2 linked regions of the Lepisosteus oculatus genome follow. The protein of the gene in region 1 purifies or fractionates together with the protein of each later gene. This does not show direct contact. Links are inferred from orthologs where the notes say so. Each region holds a gene or a part of one and is shown in the gene's direction. Other genes may lie near its edges. The genes, in order: pex1 and pex26.

The links.
Region 2: the proteins of pex1 (region 1) and pex26 purify together in Homo sapiens (affinity purification with western blotting; 3 studies listed by BioGRID and IntAct, with this or other methods). This does not show direct contact. The link is inferred for Lepisosteus oculatus from reciprocal best matches to the Homo sapiens genes PEX1 and PEX26.

The regions. Positions count from the first base shown.
Region 1 is NC_090705.1:5,009,764-5,019,068, forward strand, and holds the start of pex1 (peroxisomal ATPase PEX1), read left to right. Parts: upstream 1-5,053; 5' UTR 5,054-5,400; coding exon 5,401-5,508; intron 5,509-5,951; coding exon 5,952-6,098; intron 6,099-6,360; coding exon 6,361-6,444; intron 6,445-6,655; coding exon 6,656-6,770; intron 6,771-7,840; coding exon 7,841-8,538; intron 8,539-9,196; coding exon 9,197-9,305. Other genes in the region: clxn (calaxin), read left to right, coding at 385-536, 1,177-1,281, 1,659-1,709; rbm48 (RNA-binding protein 48), read right to left, coding at 2,246-2,317, 2,855-3,435, 3,753-3,898, 4,317-4,507, 4,804-4,914. UniProt on the Homo sapiens protein: Component of the PEX1-PEX6 AAA ATPase complex, a protein dislocase complex that mediates the ATP-dependent extraction of the PEX5 receptor from peroxisomal membranes, an essential step for PEX5 recycling.
Region 2 is NC_090702.1:9,039,689-9,049,568, forward strand, and holds the start of pex26 (peroxisome assembly protein 26), read left to right. Parts: upstream 1-5,888; 5' UTR 5,889-6,122; intron 6,123-7,278; 5' UTR 7,279-7,279; coding exon 7,280-7,503; intron 7,504-9,880. Other genes in the region: cystine/glutamate transporter, read right to left, coding at 1,851-2,058. UniProt on the Homo sapiens protein: Peroxisomal docking factor that anchors PEX1 and PEX6 to peroxisome membranes. PEX26 is therefore required for the formation of the PEX1-PEX6 AAA ATPase complex, a complex that mediates the extraction of the PEX5 receptor from peroxisomal membrane.

The DNA.
Region 1 (9,305 bases):
ATACATATGAGAATCCTTGGTCATATTTCTTCCATTTTTAATGCCCGCTGTTTCTCTCTCCATTAACTCATGGGACCAAAGACACACAGACAGGCAGCTTCTTGCTCCAGATTGCTATTCAGCAAAGGGAATTCTGTGGTTAAGAGAGAATAACACATCCTTCCCACACAACCTGATCTTGTCTGCAATTCAGCACTGTGTGCAGACTGTCTCCAATCGCACACTCTCTCCCAAGTCTCCAAACTTGAAAGCAGGGCTCATCCTACATTCTGGATGGATTCTGCCTTCCAGTTTGGAAGCCTCTCTTTGTATAAATACTAGATACGTGTTGACTTGTTCTATAATGAATCATGCTTAGGCTTTTTCATTTTTTAATGGATTTAGATTGTTTTGATGTCTATGACCTGAATGGGGATGGATATATTTCTCGAGAAGAGATGTTCCACATGCTGAAAAACAGCCTAATAAAACAACCCACAGAAGAAGACCCAGATGAGGGGATCAAAGACTTGGTAGAGATCACACTGAAAAAGATGGTGAGACTATTCCTGTTTGGTGTCTTGAGCTGAAACCTTGTTTAAGACTGGTCTTAGGTTTGGAAGTTCCCCCTATACTCTAACTGAGTTTGTATTTCAGTAATACTAATCAAAAATGTAACCTTTGAAAGTTTGCTCAGTTTACACATCTGTACAAAGAGTACCTTCAAGCACACAGTATTTGAGATGTACAGACTTGTAATACTTCAGTTTATTTCTAGTACATATTATATCAACATTCTGTAAAAACACACATAAACATGTTATCAGGAATATTTCACTTATATTACACTTCAAGTTATATCTTACAACTATATCTACATATATACCCAATATTAATGCATTTAATATTGTCTGTACTGACACTTGAAAGAAGTAGTTCATCCTGTAGTGCAAGCCAGCTATTATTTAAAAAATAGATTGTTTTTAAAGTGTGGCTAACTACCAAATCAGGTTCAACATTTATGGTAAGTAATCCAAGTGAAGTAAAAATACTCTATCAAATTATTCTGAACATGGTACCATTACATTTTCTCAATAAAAATAATGCAAAGACAGAAAAAAGTCGAACATTATTAGGATACAAATACAAATACTTTATACTCGTAATACAAAAATAAACCTTTATTATTATTTACAGGACCATGACCACGACAGCAGACTTTCATACACAGATTTTGAGAAAGCAGTGCGGGATGAAAATCTTTTACTTGAAGCCTTTGGAATGTGCCTTCCTGATACAAAGGTATCCAATTAAAAGAGAGCTTTACACTGACTGATGGAGCACATGAACACAGAGAGAATAGCCAGATTTTACTGCTTACAAGAGATGTAACGTTACATCATGATAAGATTTAACTACATTTAATGGTAAATACACATCACAAATTTAGTTCAAATATGTTCTAATGTGGCAAATCTCACAGATTTAAGAATTTGTGTAATTGGTGTGTTTATGTTAAACATTACAAAATATACTTAGAAATGCTTTTATTTTAAAAATGTAAATTTGCTTTTGTACGGTAGACAATTATATTGGAACATTTTTATAATATCTCAAAGATTAATACTTATCATGTGTAATTCAAAACAAATTTATCTTTTTTTCTCTTTGTATTACAGAGTATACTGGCATTTGAACAGCAGGTGTTCCACAATACTACTGAGACTTAAATAATATTATATAATCTAGAATTGACTACCTTTGTAAGAAATAAACTTTTATTTGGATGTATTGCAAACAAGCTTAATCCTGTCCTTATGAAAAGCCAGTTCATAATCACTTTTCTTTGAGGGTGTTGTAGTGTAGTGTTTCAGTTGTAATCGTCTTCAAATGTGTGCCTGAAGAAGGCTTCACAGCTAAAATGTTGTGGGATTTTTTGCATTTTACAGCCAAAACATTGTTTGTTTGTTATGCCTTTTAAGGTCAAAACACTAACGCCAGACTGTATTAGTTCTAATGCTTATCTGGATTGTTCCTCCTACTTCTGTTCAGCAAGGAGGTTTCTTCAGCACCTTTCAAATATCAATATTAATTTAATCAAAGTGATTTCATGGGCTTCTTATTATTCTAGTTAATGTCCGAGAATGACCGTTTTGGAATGCTGAAGACCTTCTGGAGCCACTCGGAAATCAATGTGTTATGTCTCATCCTCATTCACACAGCTCCTTGCTCTCGAGCAGAGCGTTTCCCAGTGTAAAGAGCACAATTAAATCCTCCTGCGTGGTTTTGGGGCAATTGGCTGCTGCTCTCCTGGCTTTGACTCTGGAACCGAAGAGATCTGGTTGCAAAAGAAAAAACAAATATGGTAAAATGCCCCAACACAGTTTTCCTATATTGTTATAACTCCACAGTGCCTCGAGGCAGAATATGTCTCCTACTGAATAGTCTTCGGAGAGATGGAAAGGTGGCGATAGAAAAAAAAGGCATGAGTGGCTCATAATGGATTATGTACAAACACAGGTGCACATCTGAGCACCAGTTTATTTGGAAATCTATATGTGGACTAAAAGAGACGAATTAGAAACATTTCAGATCTGATAGTCCTATTATTGGAAGTTATGCACATGGAATCCAGCTGGGCAGTTCTTCTCACACATATGCTTGTTGGTTTTGTAACACTACACTACTGTGCAAAGCCTTTCCAAATATCTTACAAGTACTGTAATGTGTGAGGTTTCTGATGGCTTGTGTTTTTAACAGCTCTACTGGCCTACTGAACAACAGCAGAAATGGAGAATAATGCCAAACACACATAACAGAAATGAAATGCTAAGACAGTGAAGGTCTTATAAAGAACTTAAAATCTGCAACTCACCTTAATTATTTTTGATCTGATTAAGTCGACTGAAGTGTTTAGGGAATCATCTCCCATATCCACTTTGGGTGTTTCTGGTAGTTTTGGTCCAATGATTGTCTCATTTGTTCTGTTAATTCCCAAAAGAGAGAGTTCCCCAGCCTGTTCCATTTTTCTTTTCCTTTCTTGTAAATGTGTGGTTCTTGGTATGAATCTTGCAGTACTGCTTTTAACTACAGCAACAGGATCTTTCTGGTCCTTGTGAACTCGCTTATCTTTACGAACAGACCCTAAGGGATCCCCCAAGGAATTCTTACTGTGATCAGCTGAACGATTCCTGGGCACCACTCTGAACCTTTCAGATGAAGAACCCACTTCCGGAAGTCCCTTAAAGCTAAAATATGTCTGTTCCCCAAACGACTGATGCCCAGGGATGTCTTCCTGAGGAGGAGGAGGCAGCATGGGATAGCCATAATAATCATTCCAGCTCTCGACTTTTTCACCATCATCACCAGTTTCCTCTGCTTGCTGTTGTTCACATGCAGCTTCCTCAGATGTACTAGGCTTCTCCACTTTCTTCTCTGTATTATCATGGTCTCCTCCTGGAAGGAAATAAGAAGCCTGACTTCCAGAACACTCGTAGTATTTCAGGATATGCACATTAAATCCACAAGGTCTGGTAAACAAAAAAAACAAATATCGATTTTGTCTTTGTATATTCATAACTATTACATAAGACCTCCTTACAAAGCTTTTAAATTCGTGTAAGTGATCAACTACACTTAAAGAGTGGAACAAATATGGGCCCCCAGCTTTAAATGGGAAGGTCTTCTGAACTTTTAGGACTATTCTGACTAAAGCATGAATCAACATTTGATTCATTTGACTCAACATTTGATTTTTATTTTAAAAAGCTCACCTTTATTCCGTGTTACTCTTGCAATATACCTCCTCCTGTCCTGCAATTTTTCCCTGGTGTCCTGCACCGTTTCATACTCTGGAGCATAGCACACATGTAGAAGTCCACCAAAAAAACTCCTCTCATCCAGTTTTCGTTTGGCTACTCTGTATTGGGTAAAATATTTTAAATAGTTGTGGGACACTGATGATTTTTCGTTTTATCAACATTTTAAAATGCAATTATTTCTTTGGTGTTGTATTAAAAATAAAGGGATATTTACTAAAATCACACAGTCACAGTATATTCACTGAATATTCTGCACTTTCACAATTAACAGGTGAAATTAACTCGAATTAATGTGCTTAAAGAAATCCAGATTTTATTGTCGAGTAGGCTGTATGCCTTGCTGGCATAACGTTTTGTCCTTCAGTTCATCACAAACAAGCAGTTAGCAAAAAAAACACACACAAACAGCAAACAGAACAAGAAACACAAATGTGAATTCGATCCAAATGCTAGGAAGACCACTGTTACCTTACTGGTGTGAAGTGGTATTATAAATGAAAATACCAGAACTGTTACCTTGCACTTTGTAGTTTCTGGAACTTTATCAAGTACACTTCTGTGAATTGTTCTGACGGATATTCGTCTAACACACGGTATTCTTCAATCACTCCATACAGAGCAAAAAGCTGAACCAGCTCAGACATCACCCCCAACGCAGGCACCCCCTGGACCAACAAGCAGCGGGACTCCAAGTTGATAGTATAAACCTAAACAAAAGGAATTGCACATATTACACTTCCTAAAGCTGCTTTTGACTTTGTCACCGTCAATAAATAAGAGTCAGTCTTCTTAGACTGCTCCAATAGAGCTCTGCTGGGTTAAATATACTGTGGTCGTGCTGGACTTCGTAAACCCGCATTAAAAGCAAGTTTCTAATCTGAAAGAGTTTAAAGATGTTTCTTGTCTGACAGCTTGAGCCCAGCAGAACACAGTAATTGATATAGCAGGCTACGTACAGAAACAATCGTTTCGGTAAAGACAAACACAGGGGGAAAAAGCTAACCTTGACAGCCTTAAGCCTCCTCCCTTCCCTGTATTTAGCTCTTGTATAACAAACGTCTGTTTGTTGGTGGTGTTTTAAAATCTCCGGGATGCTCCAACTGGAGGCAGCCATCTTGTTCTGTCAAGGCAGAAACAGCCTACACAGAGCTAATCGAGCGTGACCAATCGGGAAGGTTTCTGGCGCTGATTGCCCCCGTATCATTGTACAGTACCATAGGCTGTAGTCTGTCAGCTTTAAACCAATGAAAAATAAAACCGAGTTCCTGTTTTGATACTTAGGGGACTGGTGCATAATCTCAATGCGCGTTGCAATAAGATTTAAAAAAAGAATGTTTCATTTACGTTTAGGGTGACAGACAATTAATATCAAATAATTAATTTACACAGAGATGTACTGGGGGAAATACATACTCTTCGTGCACAGCAAAGCTTCGATGCTGTAATACCGAACAGCAGCAGCACCTACAAAATATTCAAATTTGACGATTTTTGTTGAACTGCTCCTAGCCGGAGAGCGAGTCGCTCGCATTGCCCTCCTCTCTGCAGGTGGTGAAGCGCTGCTGTACAGTATCTTGTAATATCTATTTCTGCAGCAGCAATGCTGGGAAGCCATGGCATACAGCCAGTGACATTAGTTTTTAATAATGCTAAAAACTGTTTTCTGCACCTCTCTTCGAGCTTAGTTTCACAGCTTCGCCTTCAAGAGGTAGTACTCTGAGACCTTACGTTGTCGTGTTAGTGATATCCATGTACCTAACCAATTGCCAATGCTTGCGTATTGTTTGTAGTCAGGACTTAGCATAAATAAAGATGTCGAAATACAGTCTAATACGAAACTCGCTTATAAGGTGGATCTTTACACCTTTGAGTCTGAATCATAGCTGAGACGGATACTCAAATACAGCGCAGGGTTTAGAGCCGACTGCCACGGTCCAGTATTTGCAGGGGGGTTTCTCATTTTCATCTCGTTTGGACTCAGCGGTCTTGTACTAGAACTGATTTCTTGATTGATTGATTCATTTGAAACCTTTCCGCGGTGAGGAGCTGGAGATGACCCTTTTAATAGACTCCCCACAGGATGAGACCTCGGCCGCGTGATTGCGATGCGAGGTGTTTCTGTTTCTGTTTTCTTTTTGCGTTTCCAATCAGAACCAAGCCCTGGAGCTCTCCTGGGACCGCTGTCAACCCGTGTACCTCAGCTGGACGAAATGCCTGCAGTCTTCATTCCAGGGGGAGAGCGTTGTAGAGGTCAACAGGCACTTGGGTGCCAGGCTTGGAATCAAAGATGGAGAGCAGGTAGGGATGTCATGGACAGCTTCTCCAGCTCCTGAATTTCTGGTGTCATATTTTACACAAACGGCTGCAAAGGACAACCTCAAAACAGAGACACCCACCTACTGCATGACAAACCCTTGAGCTTCACTCTATGTTTGCCTAACAACATCATTCTTATCACAAGGAAGTTACCATTATGATGACGATTATTGTGATAATTACATATGTGCTGTTTCTTTATACTGTATGTGAATGTGTGAAGTTTTATTACATTATTTTCCAGGCATTTCTCAGACCTTGCTGGCAGATCCTATCCATTCAGCAGGTGTTTGTGGAACCACTGTCATCTGATGACTGGGAGATATTGGTATGTGTTTAGTCTGCAATTTTTTAATGTAAACCAAATGCTCTCATCTACTGTATATGACAAATTAACTTGAATATTCACATTTTGACCCAATCATGCGTTTGTCAGAAGTGAGAATGGACATCACTTAAATGTGATAAAAATGGCGCGGGTTTGTTATTGTCCCACTGAGATTACACGAGCTGACGACGGGCTGTCACTTTTCTTTCAGGAGCTTCACAGCTCAGCACTTGAGCGACACCTCCTTGACCAGATAAGGGTCGTGTATCCAAACGGACTGTTTCCCGTGTGGGTGGACCAGCACACTGTCATCTACGTCAGGATAGGTTTGCAATTTGCACTCTTCCCTCTATCCGCAATTGTTCTGTAGCAGGTATTCGGTGCTATGCCGGGTGATTTAAGACCTAAGTGGCATGAGACCCGTGTGTTCCTCTGCAAGATGTTGCACTCATTTTGCTTTTGTTTTGTTGAAATGTGAGGTCTAGCTCCTGACTGGAAGGTCCTGGGATTAATCCCAGGTAGGGGCAAGTGATTTCGCTTGCTCTAATTCCTTCCTGAAGACACCCAGGTCCACTCAGCCTGCTTTCCAAATGAGTACCGGGGGTTAATCCTTCTGGGGGTAACAGGCTGGCCGGAGTGCGATGCTGACCGCATCACCTCCACCTCCAGTGTCAGATGGTTGAAAAGAATGGTGGCCCCTGCCTCCCTTTCTCCATGGGCCTTTATGGCCTGAAAAGGGGACCTAACCTACCTACCTTTGTTAAAATGTATTATTGGAGACACAGACACAAACAGGCCAGCAAGAGTCACTTTATTGTGTGTGTAAAACACACTTATTACACGTTTAAGGGGAGCCTAATCCCAGCTCCAGGTCTCCAGGTATTTAATTTTGAAATACGTGAATCAGGTGTTCATTCATAAGCAGGAGGAAAAGACATTGTCAATGTTAGTAGGAGACTTAATAATTAATGTTTTTGCCACTTTTGCTGATTTCTTGGATGTGTACTAAAGCTAGTTTTAGTGACCATTGAGCTTGCTGTTAGAAATAGTCCCTGGCTTGCATTAGAAAAAAACATGAAAGTTTGACTTCAGTCAGTGTTATTTACGGTTGTATTCCCATGACGTAGTTAACCTAGTGTGAGGCAAAGTTTAGACTTACTATAGTGGTTTTGTGTAAGCTGGATATTGACTTCTTACCTATGATTAATCTTCATACAATTACAACCTCCAAACTCCAGCCAGCAAAAAAAAACAACAATATTGTTCACACATATGTTGTGTGTTAAGTCCTTAAATGTGTCATTGTTATGTCAATTGTGGTCCAGCATCTGTCTCCCGAGAAACAATGACAGACTGTTTGTAACGCGTTGATCTTCCTGTTCCTGCTCGGCTCCAGCTGCCCTCACGCCCGCTGCTCCGTATGGCCGGCTGGAGCAGCTCACCGAGCTGATCGTCTCCCCCAAGCTGCGCCAAGACGGGGAGAGCCCGGCGCGCCCTTCTGCCCCCCCGAACTGGCAAGCAGATGCCAGTCAGGCTCGGGGTCCGCACGGGCCAGACAACGCCCCGGGGAGAGACGCGTTGGGCACCCACCGCGGGGCGCCACCGTGCGTCTCCCCCGGAGGGGGGCGCAATCTGCGGAGCCTGATCCGATCCATGTTCGCCGGGAGCCCTGCCCCCCAGAGGGAGGTTCCCGCTGTCCCTTCGGTGCCGCCCGTCCTCGGGGACTCTGTTTTCAGAGTGAGCAGGAGCGCCCCCTTCCCTGCCGGCCGGCAGAGCCCCGGTCACGGAGCAGCCCACGTCTTCCCCTGGCGCCACCCCTGCGCGGCGCGCGGCGGGGCCCCGTTCGCTGTCACCTACGGCCGGCTGTCCGGGCTGCACCGCCCCAGGGAACCAAGGGAAAAGCCGCACAGGACGCTGTCCCAGCCCGAGAGGAAGAGGGGCCCCGAGGCTCGGGGCGCTGGAGACCAGCTCGGGTCCGGAGGGGGCGCCGCAGGGCCCCTGGCCGTCAGGATCATATGCCATGGGGTGGAGGAGCTGGCGGACACCCAGGGCTGCGGCAGCAGGAGAGGGATGCCGTATGGTGGGAGGGTGTGGGTGAGTGGGGGGCCGCAGCACGGCTCAGTGGTTCGAGCTCCAGACTCGTTACTGGAGTTGGTGGGTTCAGACACTGTAGCGAGGTACGTCACTCAGATTGCTCCGGAAGAGTAAACGAGGGGTAGGAAAGCACGTTGCTTGGACACAACAGTGTCGATATACAGTACGATTACAGCCACAGGGCTGCATTCAATTTGGAGCTGGTGACAGGAATGTTTACAAAGGGTTTAAAATAGGTTTTTAAATGTGTGTAGTTGATGCTTTTGACTCTAGTGATTCCCTTGAATCTTGTTGATTCACCTGTAGGATAGCAGGATACAGTATATACTGTACACATTTAATTTAAAAAATACATTAATAGCCCATTTGCCTCACTGTTTTAGCAGCAGGGGAGATGCTATAAAGAATTCCAATGTGTTCTGTGAACAAATGGAACTAGGATCCTAACAAAGCCGCTCACTGTAAATGATTCTAAGTGCGGTTCAAAAGGAGTTTAATGTCTTTGGGTGAACAAGCATGGGAAATGTCAAATACTGTATATCACATTGATTCAGTGGTTAAATGACTGATATACTGTTTGTTTCAGTACCCTTCTATATTGCTTTGTATTGTTTTCCAAATCCCGGCCTGTGTGTCTCATTATCCTTATTGTCCACAGATTTCAGAATCCATTAGAAGAAGACTGGGTATTGATTTCTGCACAGCCGTTAGAATACAGCCATTAAACTCAGTCCCAGAAATAGCATCCTGTGTCCGATTGCAGCCCT
Region 2 (9,880 bases), on another chromosome or scaffold:
ATTAATCTGCATGCTCCCAGGTGCATGGCAGGCCATATGCCGGCTTGACTAACTTCAGACCCACAGATCCCCAACAGTATCTGGCCAGTTGCTTCCCCTGGGAAACTTCAGTCACAAATTACTGAAAACAGAGCCCAGGTTCTGGACTGTTTATGATGTGCAAAAGTCACTTGAGAGTGACTTGACACACCAGAGAGTCACTTGACACACTCTTGCAAGTCCACAAAGGCATTTTATTTAATTCCAGTGGCTCTGGATAGTAGGTTTAACTGATGCCACATTAACCAGACTTTATAAAAAGCCTGGAATATATCCTGATGAATATTGTTTTTTGTGAATATTTTTGTAAAAATGCTCTATGAAGTATCCGTAGTGGGTTAATCACTCTCTTTCTCTCTTGGCCTGGATTCATAGAGAAAAGTTAAAGTCACATGGTTGTAAAAGTCAATTCACCAGTTTAGAGAGAGATCTTCAAGTCAGTGAGTTAACCGGAGAAAAATGACTTATGGTCCAGTTTATATGTGGCGACATTAACAGTTTGTGATTGGCCAAGATGCTATCAGATTTGGTTCTGGTACCCACCTACAGATCAATTATTGGCGGATCTGTGATTGTTGGGAATGATTCAACCTGGAGACGTGCAGGAACCCATCTGCACTATACATCACAATTTTATGAGGTCTTTTATCAGAGGGGCCTATTCACCACATTCCTCTGCATTTAGGGAGAGGCACCAGGCTGCTTGGTCAAGGCATAGAAATAATTAATAACACTTAATTAATAAAGTGAAATAATAGAGCATCCTGTAAACTACAACTACAAACGATCCAGCAGCCATATCACCCTGCAGCTCACCACTGGTAGCCCACTGAAGCTAAGCATGTGTGAGCCTGGTCAGTACCTGGATCGGAGACCTCCTGGGAAAAACTAAGGTTGCTGCTGGAAGAGGTGTTAGTGGGGACAGCAGGGGGCGCTCACCCTGCGGTCCATGTGGGTCCTAATGTCCCAGTATAGTGAAGGTGACACTATACTGTAAAACAGGCGCCGTCCTTCAGATGAGACGTAAAACCGAGGACCTGACTCTCTGTGGTCATTAAAAATCCCAGGGCGCTTCTCGAAAAGAGTAGGGGTGTAACCCCGGTGTCCTGGCCAAATTTCCCAATGGCCCTTACTGATCATGGCCTCCTAATAATCCCCCTCTATAAATTGGCTACATTACTCTGCTCTCCTCCCCACTGATAGCTGATGTGTGGTGAGCGTTCCGACGCACTATATCTGCTGTTGCATCATCCAGGTGGATGCTGCACGGTGGTGGTGGAGGGGAGTCCCCATTACTTGTAAAGTGCTTTGCGTGGAGTGTCCAGAAAAGCGCTATATAAGTGTAAGCAATTATTATTATAACAAAAATACCTTTTCTGTTTTGAAGGGATATGCATAGTTAAAATTAACAAACCTTTTATGTTTCTGATACAAGCTTTTTACATCTCATGGCCAGAATGAGAGGTGAAATCATTGTTCCATTTTTTGTCACCTTGGCTAAATTTGTTAACAGCACCCTTACTGCTTAAGGATTTCCATTTATACAGTATGTTAAACATGTTGAAGCCCACAGAACAATGGTGGTGTTCCACAGGTGAACAACAGGATAATTTTCTTGCATAGTGTTTATAACATAATGGTTCAATGCTTTAACATGTAGCTAAATCCACCTTTTTATGATTTTTCATTAGTCAAGAGAGCAAAAAAAAAAACTACATTTTTGCAACTATTTTTATAATTTAAATCAAAGGAGAACAACCTGAACACTAGACTAGAACTACCATACAAAGTCTGCTGGTATCGCCACTCACCGAAGGTGGACAGTATCCCAGAGAGCACCCAGATGATCAGAGACAAACCCACGTTGCCACTGTTCTTGAGAACACCTTTGGGAGCAATGAAGATCCCACTGCCCACCACAGTGCCGATGATCAGACAGACAGCTCCCAGCAGGTCAATCTTCTTCCTCAAGTAAACAGTTTCAGCTCCTGACTTAGCTTCACTTTTATTCCCCTCCATGTTTGCAGAATTGCTCCAAGGAAGAACATGCACTCACACTCCAAGGCTGTGTTTTTTGGACTATGTGCTGCACAGTCGCCACAGTAACCTATTTTGGGCCAAAAACAAAGGAAGCAGTCTTCTCGAGTTGCTCTCGCATAGTTAATCAGAGACGTCTGAGGGTCAAACTGCTGCCTGTGTGCGCGCAGCTTGTTGAGAGAGAGAAGGCCACCCAATGGAAAACAGCTGCCTGACACTACAGGCCCCCACCTCCTTTTTTATTCCTCAAATACTGTATCTGTGGACTGAATTTGGGCACTGAATTCTGAGAAAATATTTTTCATTAAATAGGCCTAGGGAAGGATCGCAGGATTTCTTTTAAAAAATCAAAATCAATGACAATCACAAGTCATGACATGTTTTGTAAACAAAATAAAACCTGTCAAAAAATTTATATTTGATGGAAGATGGCTTCATATATTTCCTTATTACACAAAGTCCTTACTATCTTTACAGAGGAGGATTTTTCAAATGCACAATCATTATTTTATTTTTACATCCACATATTTGGATTCACTGTGAGCTTTGTACCATTACAAATGGGAACAAGGGCTTTCCTTCAAGATGTAATTTTATTAAGCCATCATGCTCCGAGTACCACAGAGTCAATCAGAAACTTAAAGTCAATCTCACTAACATTACTGCTCAAAATACTATCGTTTCTTCCATTGTGTGTGTATCTCTCATTATTAAGCCGGTATCTCCAATAACATCCTCAGAGCTGGAACACAGCGTGATTCTGGCTAACATGCGACAATGAAATGCACATTGTGTCTTACAAAAGTATCCACCCCCTGCCAAGAACAGGGGAAATTAATGTGCGTTAAGAAGGACAATGGCCTGGATAGCAGAAGGCTGTTTGCCACAGACACTCAGGAGTGTAATTTGGCGCCAAACGTTAATAGTGAGGGGCTTGCGTGGACTGCCTGAACACCGGCAGAGCGCTTCGTTTCCGTAACCACGGAGCAAGCGGTGTGCTGGTGTATAGTCGTATCGTAAGGCGTCTTCTCCGCTATATACTGTACAACGAAAAGTCTTTCCACTAAAGGGAAAATTATACTTCGGTAACCACTTCGCTACAACGCTGGTTCAGAGCTTGGACCCCATCCGCGCGCTCGCGGGGATGTTAAATAGCAAACCTGTTAAGCCTCAGGTGCTGTAGTTACAGTAGCTGTGCATTCCCTAGCGCCGCGGAGTACGGAGTGCAGAAAGAGCTGTGTTCCACTGTCACACCTGCAAGAGAAAAACTGTCTAGTACTGATTAACCCAACAGAGAAAACAAATCTTGAGTGCTGAGAGATTTTGATTTCATATGTACAAATATTTTGAACTATACACTGTAGTTTAAATTGGCCAAAGAGGCTGATTTATGTTTATATAAATGTTTGAGTTATTATTGCCTTGATTAATACAACTACAAAATATATAATTTAAGATCGAATGATTAATTACAGTATAATTACAGGACAACTCCAGAGATTTGACACTGTATTTGAACGAAAAGAATCGGTATATCATGTGCAGATTACACATGACAGCACACAAGTAAAGTATCCAGAGTAGGTTTATACTTACCCCAATGTTCACATAATCTGATTAAAAGTTCTATCTACAATTGTATAAGACCAATGTCTGTATCTGTTCCCACGCCTAGAGCTGTCATATTCAAACTCCCACAGAGACATTAATTGATATCAACACAGATTTATGTGCTTGAGTGAATCACTACAGGCAAGCAAAAACAAAAAAATACTGAGTTAATCAGTTATATTTATTTCTGCAATTAAGTGGAGTTTTGTCATTTTCATTTTGGAATTTTTAACATTCACATAGTATTTTTAATTCATTTAAAGCCAGTCATCTGAACAACACACTTTTATTCTCCAATAAAGACTTCAGCTGCACCTGACCTGTAGCTCTTAGAGGAAGCACTATAGGAATGCAGTAGATTGCCTGTAAGACAAAAGATGGCTATTTCATATACATTTGCTTAACACTGTACAAAATAGTGAGCAAATGCTAAGACAGACCATGGGATACAGATGGAAATAGCAAGCAGTCTGAAGATTTTTATCCCAAAGTTACTAAATACAGATCATTACAATTAGCCCTAAAAACCTGCACTGCTGTGTTCTGAAGTGTTCTTGAACTGTCACAGAGTATGTTAAAGTGTACACATGATTTCAGACATTAAACCACTCTTTAAAAAATAGAACGTTTTGTTTTAATGTCACTGTCTTAGTGGCATAACATCTGAGCTGTCAGTTAAAACAGGGGAAATGCATAGGCAATAGCTGTAGAATAATTGAATATTTATAAAATAACAAGTAATAGGTTTATTCCATGCTGAAAAAAAGAAGAAAGAGAACACAACGTTTCAACGTTGTGTTCTCTTTCTTCTTTTTTTCAGCATGGAATAAACCTATTACTTGTTCCTTTGCAGCCTACGCATGCTGACGCAGCTACCCACCTGATTTATAAAATAAGTCTATCAAGGGAAATCCTCAAAAGCTGATAGGAAAAACCTAACTTAGATTAATTGTAAGTGTATGTATTGAAGTCAGGATAATTCAGTTATTAAAAAAACTGAGCTTTTGATTGTAGAGGGGGAGAAGGGGAAAAGGGAAGAGAATGGGAGACTGAAAAAAACTAAAATTATCCACTGTCCATATAGTCTAAGGTCTTGCTCCGATTTAGAATTAACAGAAATCATGAAGTAGATCAAGAATAGCTTTTGTGACAAAACTCTAGAAAAATCGGTCAGATTGTGTAAGTACTGCAGTTGCTCACAAAATAAATGTATAAGAAAACCCAAACAGTTAAAAAAATAACAATCAAGTGTGTCAGATTGAGATAGCTGGTGTCCTACTCACGCTCCATCTCCTACTATTCTAGATTCCATGTTATATCACAAATAGTATAGGTTGTGCTAACTTTTAATTTTTTTTTCTGTTTATCTCTCTATGTGTTAAGAATAGAGGACACAAACGCTACAAAAGTCAAGAGCATCTTAACCTTCCTGCTGCTACAGATGCAGTGCTGTGGAATAGGCTGTGCATGTGATAACTATTCATTGCTGTTTCAACGGTGTCGTGACTGCCAGCTTTAAAGAAACAAAATATCTGATCTAGGGGTCTGAATACTTTTGCAATACTTGGCAGGTATGAAGAATAGCTGGTAGCTCCTGCTGTAATATTTCATATACCAGAGAATAAACAAATAAGAAACATTTATAAAGATAAAATATAAAGTATATTATATTCAATAATATATTTGTTATGTATTATATTAAATTAATTATAATCTTATAAAAATAAAATATTAGTAAGTTGCTGCTTTATAAAATTATAAAAATAAGTATTAGTCCGTCCTTCGGATGAGACGTAAAACCGAGGTCCTGACTCTCTGTGGTCATTAAAAATCCCAGGGCTCTTCTCGAAAAGAGTAGGGGTGTACCCCGGTGTCCTGGCCAAATTGGCTACATTACTCTGCTCTCCTCCCCACTGATAGCTGATGTGTGGTGAGCGTTCTGGCGCACTATGGCTGCCGTCGCATCATCCAGGTGGATGCTGCACATTGGTGGTGGTGGAGGGGAGTCCCCATTACCTGTAAAGCGCTTTGAGTGGAGTGTCCAGAAAAGCGCTATATAAGTGTAAGCAATTATTATTATTATTATTATAGTCTCCACAAACATATATTATGGGAAGTGTAGTTTTCTAGCGGTCTCCAATGAGTGCATTCTAACAGTAAAAACTATGATTCCCACAGTTCATTGCGTTGTTGACATCCGCTCCAAGTATGTCCGCTGTGTAGCTGATCAGTTTTAACTTTGATGTGGAAAAAAGTGTAATAAGGTTTTGATTTTTTAGACGCAGATTTCTAAATCAACACAATATCTTTTTTTTGCTTTCTTTTCCTCTTGCGTTTCGATGTGGTAAAATACATTAATGTTACCTGCTCAATTTTAAATAGTGAAAGTCAGTTTTCTGCGAAACAGGATTAAACGTGCTGTGAGTGCGTGAAAGGTTGGTATATTATATAGTAAATGTGAAGAGTATAGTAAGTAAAAGTCTCTTTAAAAATGATCTCTTTAAAATGATGTTAGTGTTAATGGATTGATGGTTCAAAAAGATCAATAAAAACTCAAATAACTTTTGTCGTACAGTTCTGCAAACGGTGGAGAAAATGTTAGATGGTTATTTACTCAGAATAAATATAAAACGTACTATATGGAGTGAATTATTTGTAATGCTTTTTACGGAGATAAAACCTCCTGACACTTTTCGATTAACATCTGCAATTTAAAAATAAATTCTTAATCGAATGCATATTCGCAAAGATTTTCGTTGTTTTTTTATGCCTTTACATACTTTTATGCCTTTACATACTGAATTACTTAACATTAGTATCCAGATCGGGTTTTTCACTTCTTAAGTGAAACAAGTGAGTATTGTATTCAGAGTGATTAGTAACTTCATAGTGGATTGATATGCAGTACACATGTACATGCATGCCTATTTGCAGAATAAATGATTACTTATGGTGGCATGATGGTGCAGTAGTTGGCATTGCTAGTTTGCAGCGCTGGGGGCCTGTGTCTGTGGTGTTGGATGGGAGTTCTGTCCAGGGTGTATCCTGCCCTGTGCTAGTTGCTTCCCGCGATAGGCTTCGGATCCCCCGAGACCCTGAACTGGATAAAGCGGTTAGAAAATGGATGGATAGATGAATAAGTGCTTTCATTCTTATTTGAAGTTATCAATCAAAGTTTATTTATCAAATGCACAACAACACAGTGTGCAGCAGTAGTTGCTGGCAATGGAATGTCTTTTCTACGAGCTCACTGGGAGAGATAAAAATCACAGAATTAAAGTTGCAAAATAAGGTTACATAATGATAGATAATAGTGCAATAGAAATTCAATAAGATAAACTCAATATAAATAGAGTTGCTATGTGTCCAGGGTGTATGCAATACATTATGTCCAAGTAGTGCAGTATGCCAAATACAATGAAAACTGTATGTCCATGTAGCCATTGTGGGTGACTTGCTGAAGGCACTATAGGATTTGCTGAAGGAATTATGACAGTGAACACAAATCTGCATGCTGTTGCATTGTATCTTAACAGAAGACGCAGTCCTTGCGCTGCTGTGGAAAGTGAATATTTTCTGTTTCTCTGCAAGGATGCGGAGCAGCTCCTCCACCTCTCTGGCCCATGTGAGGGGCCTGGGCTCGGTGCGACTCGGCAGCAGCCCGCTGCTGTCCCAGGGCTCGGCTCAGGCGCTCAGCCTGCTGGAGACCGCCGCCGAGCAGCTGATGGTGCAGCGGGATTTTCGAGCAGCGCTGGATTCATGCGAGAGAGGTTTGGACAGCATGGGGAGTGTCCCTGAGCAGGAGGACACATCAAGGTACCGCTACAGCCAAAGACAAACAAGGGCGTGTTGTGTACTCATAATAGTGCAATATGTTTTGGGGGCCAATAATGAGATTGACAAGGAAATCTGGGTATTGATTAATAAAATTAAGTAGTTTACAGTGCCTTCAAAAAGTATTCACCCCCATTGATGATTTCTTGTTCTACTGTGTTGCAAAGTCAAATTAAAACATATTTAAATGGGATTTTTTTCCTCTAAAATGTTAAAATGAAATGAAGTATTTAGACGTCTTCAAAATTATATTAAAAATAAAAATCTGAAAATTTCTTAATTGATAAGTATTCACCCCCTTTGTTTTAACAACCTAAATTGGGTGAGGTATTCAACCACCTTGAGAGATATCACACTAAATGTCACGAAGAGTAGATCAGGACCCTATGCAGACGATAGAATCCGGAAGGGAGTGCAACAGACACGGGGAGGAGACGGAGAGGAACTGGGCAGGTGGACGAACGGGGGTGTGACGATGGTGCACTGCCCGTGGAACTTCGAGAAGAAGTTGTAAGGAGGAAAAAAACTGGAGAAGGTTATTAAAAGATTGGCAAAGCTTTGAGCCTTCCTAGGAGCACCGTGAAGTCCAGTGTAACAAAATGGAAAAAACATGGCACAACCTAGACACTACTAAGATCAGGCCGTCCTACCAAATTGAGCAACCGGACAAGAAGGCCAATTGTCAGAGAAGTGACCAAGAGGCCAGCTACAACACTGACAGAGTTGCAGAGCTCTTTGGCTTAAATGGGAGAAACTGTCCAGACATCAACAATCTCTTCAGCACTTCACAGATTTGGCCTCTTTGGGAGATTGGCTAGAAGGAAGCCACTTCTGAGAAAGGCCAACATTAAATCACTCCTGGAGTTTGCTAGAAACCAAATACAACTGAACACCCAGGTAACACCATCAAGCATGGTGGTGGCAGCATCATGCTCTGGGGTTGCTTTTTAGCAGGAGGAACTGGAAAGCTTGTTGCCATCAAGGGCAACATGGATGGAGCCAAATACAGGCAAATCCTTGAGGAGAACCTGTTTCAGTCAGCCAGAGATCTGCGTTTAGGTTGAAGATTCATTTTCCAGCAGGACAATGACCCAAAGCACATGGCAAAAACTATCAAGGAATGGTTTGAAAAAAAGAAGGTTAGTATTCTGGAATGGCCCAGCTAGAGCCCAGAGGTGAATCCAATTGAAATTCTGTGGTGAGACCTGAACATTTCTTTCCACAGATGCTCTCCATCTAATTTGGCAGAGTTGGAGCAAATTTGCATTGAAGAATGGGCAAAAATACCACAATTTAAATGTGCAAAGCTCATACAGACAATCCCGAGAAGACTCATGGCTGTAATTGCTGCTAAAGGACTATGTACAAAGTATTGACTGGGGGTGGGGCTAAATACTTTTGTTAATGAGAAATGTAAGTCTTTCATTCTGGAGAAATGAATGTTCTTGAATTAAAAAAAAAAGATTCATAAATGTTTAATTTATTGTGTTATTGAAAAGTGAAAAAAATTTTTAATGTGTTAAATGTGGAGGTGTAACAGGAACAAAATGCAAAAGAAATCAAGGGGGTGAATACTTTCTAAAGGCACTGTATATTAACATAGAGTCTGACAGAATTTGCTGCTATGTTCTGACTGTGAGTAGCCTCACAATTTTTTGGCTGTACATCTTTTTGAGGAAATTCAGGAACTTGGAGGAAAGTCAAAATAAATACAGGGCCCTTTTGGGTCAACCCGTCCCACAGGTCCCAGTGACCAGAACAGCTGAAAGTTCTTGTTTATTTATCTAACCAGATAAGTAAATTGAGAACAAATTCTCCTTTATGGTGATGACCTGGAGTGTGCCCTTTCCTGCTGCAAGCCATTTCCTGGAGAAATTGCAGTGATGTACAGCAGTGTTCCAACCAAGATTTAAATCAGGAGCCCTGGTCATTGCTCCATACTACTGACCTGATATTTAGTATTTCCTTAGACATCAAAAGGGACATTAGTTCATAACACATTAAGACGCCAGTTATGATTCATAAAGTGCTTTGTCGCTGTATCTGATCAAGCCTAGTCTACAGGTAGTACTGAAGAGTGTGAAGAAAAAATCAAGATGTCATCATGTTTACTGGATCATTAAGATTATTCCAGTGGCCAAAGCAGAGAGATGAATGCTGTGTACTTCTACAGAAGGGCTGTCCTATCCTAAACCGAAATAATTTCTCATTACTTTATCTGATCTGCTGTGCACTGGGGTGCTGGAGCATAATGGGTCTGTCATGCAGTAGCAAATTAAGTTTTTAGTGCTTTAGGATATTTTGGGATGAAAAGTGTGATACAATTTCTATAGAAGATCTACCTTGCTCTCTGTACAGC